3 linked regions of the Schizosaccharomyces pombe genome follow. Changing the gene in region 1 together with any one later gene gives a genetic interaction. Each region holds a gene or a part of one and is shown in the gene's direction. Other genes may lie near its edges. The genes, in order: art1, spn4 and spn1.

Region 1 (3,759 bases):
AAAAGGAAGGTGTTTATATCTGGCGTGTTCGCTAACAACATCTAGCTGCTTGTCCGGTGTAACAATGTCAGAGTTTGGATTTGGAGAGGAGTTCGTAAAGTGCAGAGGAGAAGAAGAGAAAGGTGTAGGATTAAAAGAGTTTATTTCGTCAGCCTCAACGGAATTACCGTGGGATAATGTCGATGAAGTTGTTTCCTTAAAAACCGCAAGCTGTAACCGATTACTAACAGATAAATTTTTGGAAGACCGATGAGGTCGGGGGAAGTATCTCGAACGAGACACACGAAAGCTTGATGGAGATAATGCTTCGTCATGGATGTTTTGAGAATGCGTGTCAGAGGCAGGGGAAAATAGATTTTGAAGAGCAATGGGATCCAAAAATTTTTCATCCTTACTAGAATTTGTATATGAATGAGAAACGGTAGGTTTACTATTTCTGTCAAGAGTATTGTGAGAAGACATATCAGATTCGACCGTCACGTAACCACGTTCAGTCTTGGAATTTATGTGAGAAAACCGAGATTCAGGGGCTTTAGTAGAAGGCTCTAGTTTTGAATTTGTACTATTACTATTAGATGGTATCGCCTCGCCAGCGATGCGATCCAATTCAGAAATGGGAGTTTTTGTCAAAAAAAGTTTTGCATAAGTAACTGTACGAGAACAAATATTAACAAACGTGTTCAAAAATGTCTTTTTACGTTTCCTTTGATACTCTTCATATGTAATACAATCATCCTGACGCGTCCTTTTTGACGCATTGCGTTTTCCTATCATTCACGAGTGAATTGTAAAGGGTGAATCGCGAGAGGCTGTGACACACAACAACCTGGAAGGATGAGCGCGTTCTTGCTTACGTTGTGAAAATACCTCGTTATACGAGTATTGCGGTATTTACTGTAAACAAACTACTTTTTGTGTTTATATTACAATGTTTGGCTTTCGAGCCGCTAGCTTTGCTTGTAAGATTTTAAATTATGTTGCTTAACATGTAAGTGTCCGTTTATCTTTAGGGCCTACTGTGTTTGATTTCATTACACTAAAATCCTACTTCAATGTGGGCTATCACTACTTTTAGCCGTGAGAAGCTTACAAGTATATTAATGTAAATTAAATATCATATTGCTTTTATAAAATATACATTCATGACAGTACACTGTGTTACTCTTTTAAGCGTTTAATAAGTAAGTGGTAGCGTATCGCTACTAGTAAATTGTTTTAAGTTCTGATATATGCCCTGAAAATGAAAAGATAAATCGGAAAATGTGAGTTAGTTTTATACAAACCATTTAACACTTCCTGAAGGGATCTTTGAATGAACAGAAAGCCCTATATTCAGGTTATCCTTCAAACAATCATTATTTCCTAGATAGAAAAGAGTCGTACATCAGCAATGAATTTCCTCAATTATCGCCGGGGTTTTTTATCATACTACGGCTCATATAACTATCAAAAATTAGCATTACCAGTTGCTCTTGATTCTTGTTTTTCTCGATTTTGAATTTTTTGTTATGCATTGTCTGTTAACTATGCGTGAAATATCTGTTCTTTTAGAGATTCGTTTGATTTTTAGTAAAATAGTATTTACTTGCTTTATTTCCCTTTCTTCTGCTGCTCAATAATCTGATATCTTGCTATATTGTTTTCGTTTGAATTCAGTCTCTCTTCTATATTTCGTATATGTATGTTGCGATCAATCGTGTGTTATGGTTTCAAAAATTCAAAAATTCAAAAAAAAAGCCTTCTGCTGTAAGAATAAACATATTTTAGGCTTTCGTAAGTGAATTTTAAGTTGAAAATACCAATTTCAAAATTAGGCTATTAAAGTCATTTTAGTTTTTACTATTGTAATCAAAATGGAACTTTTTTACAACAGATACTAGCTTTAGATGCTTGGCTATCAATTGTAGGCTTTTGATTTTAATTCTATGGAATGGAAACAAAAGTACATTTTTTGGCCTAAAATTAGATTTTTATATAATAAAATATTATTAATTTCATTGCTATAAAAAGTCACTTAGCAGTGTTTAAGCGAGTGCTTAAAAGATTTTATTTAGCTATCTAGATCTGACATTGCTGCACTGAACCAACCTGTCTACCATTTGGTAGATTCAACTTCCCATAACCAGCACCAAGCCAGAGGAACTCACTAAATGTAAGAGCATGACATCCCCGTGTACGCTAATACGGCAATTTTCTCCTTTGGAGATACGTCCGTTACCACATTTGGATTTCCAAGCTGGATTTAATGGGATACCAACTTCAGCTCCAAGGTTGGTTGGTATCGTCCAAGTTCGAAGTAAAGAAATTCACCAACCTTTGGCTTTGGTTCAAATAACGTTAGAATTATGGAAAATTGAATCAGTGGTAATACCATCCTTGGGTATAAGTAATCACTTATCAGATAATAAGTGTCTGGCAAGGCAGGTTTTGTTTCCACTTCATTCCGAGCATCCTGAAAATAACATACCTCCTAATGATAATAATTATTCTATCAGCGATTTGTCTATCAAATCACCTCCACCCTCCCTTACTAGCGATTGGATAGTAGATTCTTATGCGTCTGATCAGGATAATCCTTCTGTTCATACTCATAACCGTACTACTCCACCTATCCCTCCACCTCATCTTCCTAATGCCTCTGGATCTTCGGTATATCAACCTCCTTACACTCCGTTTAGATCAGTATCCACCACATCTTCCTCTAATGACACATCTATCACTCCTTTTGGTGACCAAACTCCTATACTCTCTTCTTCTTCAGATCCTTACGCTACTCATAGGGTATGGTCAATGGACCTTCCCTTTGAAATCCCGTTTCCCGAAAATTCAGAAATTCCATCGACTTTTGAATTGAATCGGTCTGGTACAATATGCTCCACGAAATATGAACTACGTGCTCACATGAGTTTACTAGGGGTACCGGATATTACTACCACTGTACCAGTGTCACTCAGCAGGTATGATAATCTATCTTCTTGGGGGATGTATAATTCCCCTACTAATATTCGGCAAGTGAGTAGCGATGGTCGTGTTGTAGTAGAGGTATCAATACCCAAACTGTGTATTGGACCTTCGGATCTCGTCTCCGTCTTCGTTTCCATCATGCCTAATAATGGTTCTAAAATACGAGTACAGCAACTTTCTCTTTCCTTGGTTGAATACATCACGTTCATACATCCCTCTTCTTCAAGCCCAATAGTTCGTAAAAAGAAAGTATTACGTTACGAAGAAGATTTGGATGATATGAAACTTACATCGGAAGGTTTATCGAAAAGCCTTTCTAAACCTTTCCCCGACATTGATTTTGAAGATGCAAATATCACTGGATTCACGACCACCTCTGATCTTTACTCTGTACAATACATGCTAGTCATCAAAGTACAATTATATCGTGCTAGAAACATTGAAATAACAAACCCAATTATTGTTTCCCCAGTGGAACGATCACGAAGTCAAGCCTTACTTAATGAAATTCAAACCCGAGTCCTTGACGTTCGCCAAAGCCACGGAGGCGTTGTCCTCGAAGAAAACGTTAGGATTGTGCGAGCTTCAGATTTTTCCAAAAATAATATGTTTGCTTATTTGAATGATGACATTGTCCTGTTATCTTAGGAAGTTACATTTTTCAAGCTCAATCTGTGCTTTACTACAAATGTAAATCCCGATATTGTTGATCATAAGCCTTACCTCTGTATTTCCCTGTGTTTTTCGATATTTGCAAGCCTTTGGTTTGCAATTAAATACCCACTTTGTTTATTT
Region 2 (3,759 bases), on another chromosome or scaffold:
AGTTTTGAATGTTTGACGCGTTAATATTATTTTTTGTACCCTGTATGTCATTTACCGTGCCTGTGTGTCCTTTGGAGTACTTCGGCCTATTTTCACTAAATTTCTGTTTTGCATAAATATGAAAGTTATCTAAGGGCCTGTCTCCTGGTTCTGTTTATCTAGCTGAGATGGCAAATGCACCGCAAATAGCAAATAACTGGTGTGTGATTTTAAGTTAGAATCAACTCTTGCAACATCTGTCCATTCGTAATTTCCATCACCTTCTCTAATGCGTTTGTTAGTAACGGGCTTTAACGCCGTTTCTGTGGACACAGAAGACTTGTTTTCACCAAGCATTGAATCGTTATCTTGATCTTCTACCTTCGCATCAGAAGATAAGTTTTGTTCACGCCTCATTTTTCTTCTCTCAAATCCTTCGATCCTCCTTCTTTTAACCTCTTTTAGCCTATCGATTGCTTCGTCAATATGAACAATTCGACTCTTACGAGCAGCCCATTGCTTATAATCAACTTCAATCATTTCAATATCACACCAGCCAAGTTCTCGTAGTGCTTCAGCAGAATGTTGAATTTGTTCTATACAAGGAGAAAAACAACAAATTCGAGTGCTTTTATCATGATTTACATGATTCGAAAGATGCGGTATTGCTTCCCAGGGAGCTGGAAGGTCTAAAAATATAGCGTCAACCTTTACCTCCGTATCCAAAAAACCATCTTTGCAGACATCTCTATGAGTTAGATGAGTATTTCCACCCACATCAATTAACATCTCGTGTTCCCGAAATTCTTGTAACGCTGTTTGATAGCGAGTTGCGTGATATTCGAAAGTAAATAATCTTCCAAGAGGGCCGACTGTTCGCGATATTGCGTGTGACATGCTAGCACTACCAGTACCAGCTTCTATTACTCGGGTTCCGTAAGTGATACGAAGCTTTTGGTGGATTAAAGCAATATCTGGAGTGTAAACAATTTGTGTTCTGTGAGGAAGAGCGAGGGTCCATAGTTCCGGAGTTGGTTGAAGAAGGTAAATAAATCCTTGCTTCGCTGTAGATGCAATTTGCTCGCCGTACCTTTTACCAATCATTTCGGAATGTGGGAAGGCACCATATTGATTATGAAATGTTTTTTCAGCTTCTATATGTAAAGGAATCAACTTGTTCCTACCAATCCAAGCTACTGCCAAATCGCCATTTTCAACACGTTGTTTATAGTCTGCAAATACCATTATAAATTTCAAAAAAACATATAATATATATATATATATATGTATTACGAAAAATTAGAAGGTAGTGTTATTTAATTGCGTTTTAACAAATCAATATAATTAGCCAAAGAAAAATTGGGACTTAATTTTTCGTTGGTCTAAATTACCGGGTGCATTCACGATTATTGAAGAGTTAATAAAATAAGTCAGTGTGAAGTATATGAAGATCCGCTCAAATCTGTAATTTTAAATCATACAAGACTGAAGTAAAGAAGTTTTTAAAACTAATGTGTTGAGATAAATTTTTTTAGTCTTTTCAAGATATTATGGTTAACCTATCCCTACGCCCACTATGCTATTATTTTAGTTAACATTTGTTTAGTGTAGCCATGTTTCATTAGTTAAATATTAATAACGATATCTCACATTAACTCTCAAAGCTACGAACGTAAAATTCGTTAAATAATTTAGAAAATGCTATCAATGCTGCCGTTAATTACTATGCTGCCACGAATTAACTTTACACTGCAACAAGTTAGTACTTGTATATCAACTAAAACAACGATTTTGATCATCATATTACCTGTGTAGTAACTATTTTCTTGAACAATATAATGAACATTAAATCAATAACTTAAATGCATACTTCCCAGCAATCTATTTCTGTTACGTAGTATAGAGGTTTTTATATATTTGCCAAGCATAATTTCTGGCATTCAGAATCTTTATGAAATTTAATGAGCAAACTAGTAATGATAGTTAGTATATTTACGAGACGAAAGCCCGTTAAAAATATAATGAGGTATAGTGATCATATAGTTATATCGCTAACGAGTGATTGCAACGAAGCTTCGATTATCTATTTACTTAGACCTTCCGTTTTTTACCATTTATGCTTTAATAAAACTAATAACAATTCTCTTGCATTTTTTGGAAACTTTTTTATTTAGTTTGGAAGCTTTTAAGTCAATATTTTACAGACCGTTAAACAAAGGAAATATACTATTCATCTCTGCGCGTCATGAATGAAGAAGAGACAAACTTCGTTGGAATTGCGGATTTACCTAATCAGCGTCACAAAATAGTTTCACGAAATGGTGTAGCTTTCACTTTGATGCTTTGTGGAGAGTCGGGTCTTGGTAAAACAACATTTTGTAATACACTCTTTTCAACAACAATTAAATCACATATGGGCCCGGAAAAGGTTCGTGCGAAGCATGCTGAGAAAACGGTCGAAATAGAGATTACAAAAGCTGAGTTAGAAGAAAAAAATTTCCACTTAAGGTTGACAGTAATTGATACCCCTGGTTTTGGGGATTTTATCAATAATTCAGGATGTTGGGAGTCGGTAGTTGAATTTATAGAAGACCAGCATGAATCGTACATGAGACAAGATCAGCAGCCAGATCGTCGTAAGATCATTGATATGCGTATTCATGCTTGCCTATATTTTTTGCGTCCCGTAAGAAATGGTGTTCGGCCTATGGATTTGGAGGCTATGAAACATATTTCTAAGCGTGTCAATTTAATTCCTGTCATAGCTAAAGCCGATATGTATACTCGAAGGGATTTAGCTCTGTATAAAACTAGAATTTCTCAAGTTTTAGAATACCATCAAGTCAATGTTTATAAACCTAATATGGATGAGGGCGATCCCGTTTTTCACAGACAAATTCAAGGAATCATTAATTGCATGCCATTCGCGATTGTTGGAAGCGAAGATGACATCCGTACTCCTGATGGTAGGGTCGTTAAGGGTAGAGAATACCCATGGGGAATTGTTGAAATTGAGAACGAAGAACACTGCGACTTTAAACAGCTTAGGAATATTTTAATTCGGAGTTGTATGCTTGATTTGATTCAAACTACTGAAGAAAAGTTGTATGAGCAATATCGACAAGAGCAGATGAAAGTTCGCCAGTATGGAGAACCTAAACTGCGGACTATTGATAATGCGAAATTTAAGGAAGAAGAAGAAAATTTGAGAAAAAGATTTACAGAACAAGTGCGCGTAGAAGAAACTCGATTTCGACAATGGGAACAACGCTTGATTGCCGAACGCGACTCATTAAATAAAGATTTGGAAGCTCAGCATGTTCAAATAAAACAAATTGAACTTGAAATCGAACGACTAAAGGCGGCTACCAGCTCTCGCAAACGTTAGAGATAATGTTAAAATATAACGAAACTTGATACCCAATTATCATTTGGGTTTGTTTGCTAGTGAACCATACTATCATCTTTTATGGTCCTTCATTTCTAATACATAATGTCAAACGTCTATCTTGCCTCCCGTATAAATTACATTCTTTAGACAATCAATTAACTATATGATTTTATTTTATTTTTTCTATGCCTTTATACACTCTTTTATTGTGGTTTTATTCAACGTATAGTACATATGCTTTCATAAGTTGCTCAATTTTTATATAATTTTGATATCGAATAAATTTTCTGTATCTTATAAAATTTCTTGCATAAGTACTTAAAATTTCTCGTTTTGTGTCTTTCTGAAATAAAATTGTGCAATGTGTGTTTATAGTCAATGCTTAATAA
Region 3 (3,759 bases), on another chromosome or scaffold:
TAAATTCCTCGGATAGTCAAGCTCAAGAAGATTTTTCCAATACTGTGGATAAAATCGAGCAATAGGAGTTAAGATTAACACCTCCTCTTTGTTACGAATGGGATCGGAAGATTCCGTAATTTTGTTCATATCGTATATTTCGTAAGAATTCCCCCCACGGTTTTCAATCTGAACTTTGGCATTTGAATTGACAGATGGAGTAAATAGGTAATAGATGAAAGTAATACCGAGGGCCACAAAAAGGAGCTGCCCTACAATTCTAGATTTATTGTACACGCGCATCTTAAAGTTTATAAATAAAAATGGAAGGGCACAATTTAATAAGAGTAATAAAAATAGAGAGTTAAAAATTAAAATCAACCCGAATCTGGATGTTGTTTTGTGGGTCTAAACAGAATCGAGTTCTTAAATAATTATGCGAATTCCTTAAAAAAGCAACGGCTAACAGCTGTAGTCGCGAAAGTAACACCTTATATATATAAATGTATTTCAACTAGTGAATACCCCGTTAATAAATACTTAAGATAATTTAAGCATTAATACAAACAAAGGATTATGTCGTACGTTCACGAATCAAGCTTGTACAGGTTTTGCCCCTATCGAGTAAAAACAAAGCCAAAGAAAGAAGTATTAAAAACGCTTTTTCGAGTAAAAGAAACTGTTTTTAAAATAAAAAATTTCCTCCAATAAACCCAGAATTTGAGTGTTTTCTTATATATTGGTTCGATTCCGCCGCCAGAGAACGCCTTTGTCCAGTATAATGTGTGGCTCTGGTTACGTCGAAAAGGAGGTGAATACCAGTTACCTTGATCCCATCTGTATTCATAACAACTAGAATTAATAGCGTAGTCACGCAAGATTTCGTTATTAAATTCAATTATAGATATTTCGATTTCTTAATATAAGACACGTACTTCTATATTGTGTTGATTAACGTCTTTTCACATTAATTTTTGACATATTATATTCATAGTTTTAACGACGACATACTGGGATTGCTTGCGTACCTTTACTGGAGTTATTCTTTCTCTGATACCAGCCACACAACACCGCGTTAAGTCATTCCGTGCTTTGATAGCAAGAAGAGCTGAAATAGCTAGAAGGAAAACAAAACAATGATTGACTATTAAATGCCTTTATTCAATTGAGTTTTAGAGCTTATACTGCAATTCGGAGACTGTAAACGCTGTTATAAAGACTAATATAATCGTTATTTAATTAGTAAAAATGATCCTATTATGTTAAATTTTTTTTTAACATTTTATTATTTATAATAAGTTCAAATTTATCTTAAAAGTCCTTTAAGATCAAAAATATACGGTAAACAAGCTTCTAATGTTTTAGTTTGATCTTACTTTTTCGTAGGAAAAGAAATATAGATATTTGTTTCTGAATCATCTATTAGCATGAAAATGTTGGCCAGGCAATAATTTCTAACTGTGTTTTATGTCTAATAATTAAATCTTTAAAATCGTTGAGGGTCACATTGTCGACGTACAAGTTCAATTGAATAAATAATCAGTTGTGCAATAAATTGGATTTGCATTAATGCTCAATTCAACGACTACTGCCCAAGGTTCTATATTAATAGAAAAATAAATATTTTAAATTAAATTCAAAAGATTTAGATGATTGCATGCTGAAAGGGTATTCAAACAAATAATTTAGGTATAAATAAAAGGTCAAAAAATGTTTTTAAACAAATACAGATAATGGATAATTTTAATTCATTAGATTTATCCAATTGTTAAAAAAAATAATTGTAAAATTAACAAGACAACTAAAACAATGGAATAACAATGTTTAGTATCTTTTTATTTAATGCATCCCAGCCGTGTATATTTCGAGGTTAAGGACCTAAATTCGACGCGACAGTGAATTAAGAAATTTCAAAAAAGCTCTATAATTTCGTGAAACATAATTAAGAAAAAAATTGGTTAAGTTTAATTTCCTACTTGAGCAAATAGATGTTCATGCTCGAGCTCCTAGCTACACTCTTCATCACATACATAACCACCAACACGGGGGTTTTCGATAATTTCTGACATGGCGTCAATGGTACTCGCGGATGGTATGCCTACAGTTAAAGATGATTCCACTAGAAGCAGGGGTTCCGACGTTGATTCTTTCACATCTACAGATAATGTAACGCAAATAAATGTTGAGGCAGCCATTTCAGAAAACAAGAATGAAGAAAAACCCATTCAGGATAATTCTGAACAAGAGGTAATCAATTATTTAAAATTCCTTTACTAATATTTAGTTCAATCCGCACGTTAGTATAATCCAGCGTCAGTTGAACGGATACGTTGGATTCGCTAGTCTTCCTAATCAATGGCATCGTCGTTGTGTTCGTCAAGGTTTTAATTTCAACGTATTAGTATTAGGGGAAAGCGGTTCAGGGAAATCTACACTTGTGAATACGCTATTGAATAGAGATGTTTACCCACCGACCCAGAAATCTTTAACTGGGGATTTTGGAGTGAACCCAGAACCCACTGTTATGATCAACTCTTCTGCAGTTGAAATAGTGGAAAATGGTATCAGTCTTCAATTAAATGTAATTGATACACCCGGTTTTGGCGATTTTATTGACAACACCGATTGTTGGCAACCAGTTTTGACAGATATCGAGGGTCGCTATGATCAATATCTTGAGCTTGAAAAGCACAATCCTCGATCTACTATTCAAGATCCAAGAGTTCATGCTTGTATATTTTTTATTCAGCCTACTGGTCATGCTATAAGTGCTATGGAGCTTCGAGTTATGTTGGCTTTGCACGAGAAAGTAAATATTATACCCATCATTGCGAAAGCCGATACACTAACGGATGATGAACTTAACTTTACGAAGGAAATGGTAAGCCCTAATCTTGATTTAAAGTTGCTAATGAAAAAATGATAGATTTTGAGAGATATCCAATACCACAATATCAGAATTTTCTTCCCTCCGACATATGAGACCGATGATCCTGAATCAGTGGCAGAAAATGCAGACATCATGAGTAGAATACCTTTTGCTATAATTGCTTCTAATACATTCGTGGTCAACAATGAAGGAAAGCGCGTCCGCGGGAGGCGGTACCCATGGGGCGTTGTTGAAGTCGATAATGAAGAGCATTCTGATTTCCCTAAGCTTCGTGAAATGCTTATTCGAACACACTTAGAAGAACTCAAAGAACAGACAAATAAGCTGTATGAAGCGTATCGTACTGAACGGTTGCTTAGCAGCGGAATATCACAAGATCACTCCGTTTTTCGTGAAGTCAACCCTAGTGCTAAACTCGAAGAGGAGCGTGCCTTACACGAAGAGAAATTGATGAAAATGGAAGCAGAAATGAAAACCATTTTTTCTCAGAAGGTTCAAGAAAAAGAAGATCGTCTTAAACAATCTGAAAACGAGTTACGTACCCGTCATCGCGAAATGAAGGCAGCATTGGAGAAGCAAAAAGCTGACTTAATTGATCACAAAAATCGGTTAATGCAAGCTAAAGCTGCGGCCGAAAATGAGAAGAGTAAAAGGAAGTTTTTTAAATAGTCTCCTTACTAGCTGATATTTATTTGTATGACACCGCAGTTCTACTGCTATCTCCTTCTTTGTTATTTAATTACTACTTAAAGTCCAATATTGGGCTGTATATCTTTCCTTGATTATTCTACCATATGGAGTCGTTAATTTTTATCGAAATTTTCTTTTTTAGGAGGTTCACTAATTGACATTTTGCTTGAACAAACAAATTGAAACAGCCGGCTTATCTC

What was found.
Region 2: mutations in art1 (region 1) and spn4 impair growth when combined (synthetic growth defect), as found in Schizosaccharomyces pombe (one study listed by BioGRID).
Region 3: mutations in art1 (region 1) and spn1 are lethal when combined (synthetic lethality), as found in Schizosaccharomyces pombe (one study listed by BioGRID).

What each region holds. Positions count from the first base shown.
Region 1 is NC_003423.3:2,364,132-2,367,890, reverse strand, and holds the start of art1 (arrestin-related substrate adaptor for RhoGEF, Art1), read left to right. Parts: upstream 1-2,077; 5' UTR 2,078-2,160; coding exon 2,161-3,612; 3' UTR 3,613-3,759. Other genes in the region: SUMO deconjugating enzyme Ulp1, read right to left, coding at 1-774.
Region 2 is NC_003424.3:1,991,395-1,995,153, reverse strand, and holds spn4 (mitotic septin Spn4), read left to right. Parts: upstream 1-2,072; 5' UTR 2,073-2,224; coding exon 2,225-3,367; 3' UTR 3,368-3,672; downstream 3,673-3,759. Other genes in the region: tRNA (m1A) methyltransferase complex catalytic subunit Trm61, read right to left, coding at 130-1,224.
Region 3 is NC_003424.3:4,851,040-4,854,798, forward strand, and holds the start of spn1 (mitotic septin Spn1), read left to right. Parts: upstream 1-2,000; 5' UTR 2,001-2,046; coding exon 2,047-2,226; exon of another isoform or gene 2,227-2,263; coding exon 2,264-2,860; intron 2,861-2,905; coding exon 2,906-3,538; 3' UTR 3,539-3,759. Other genes in the region: mannan polymerase complex subunit Mnn9, read right to left, coding at 1-282. UniProt on the Schizosaccharomyces pombe protein: Plays a role in the cell cycle. Involved in a late stage of septum formation leading to the separation of the daughter cells.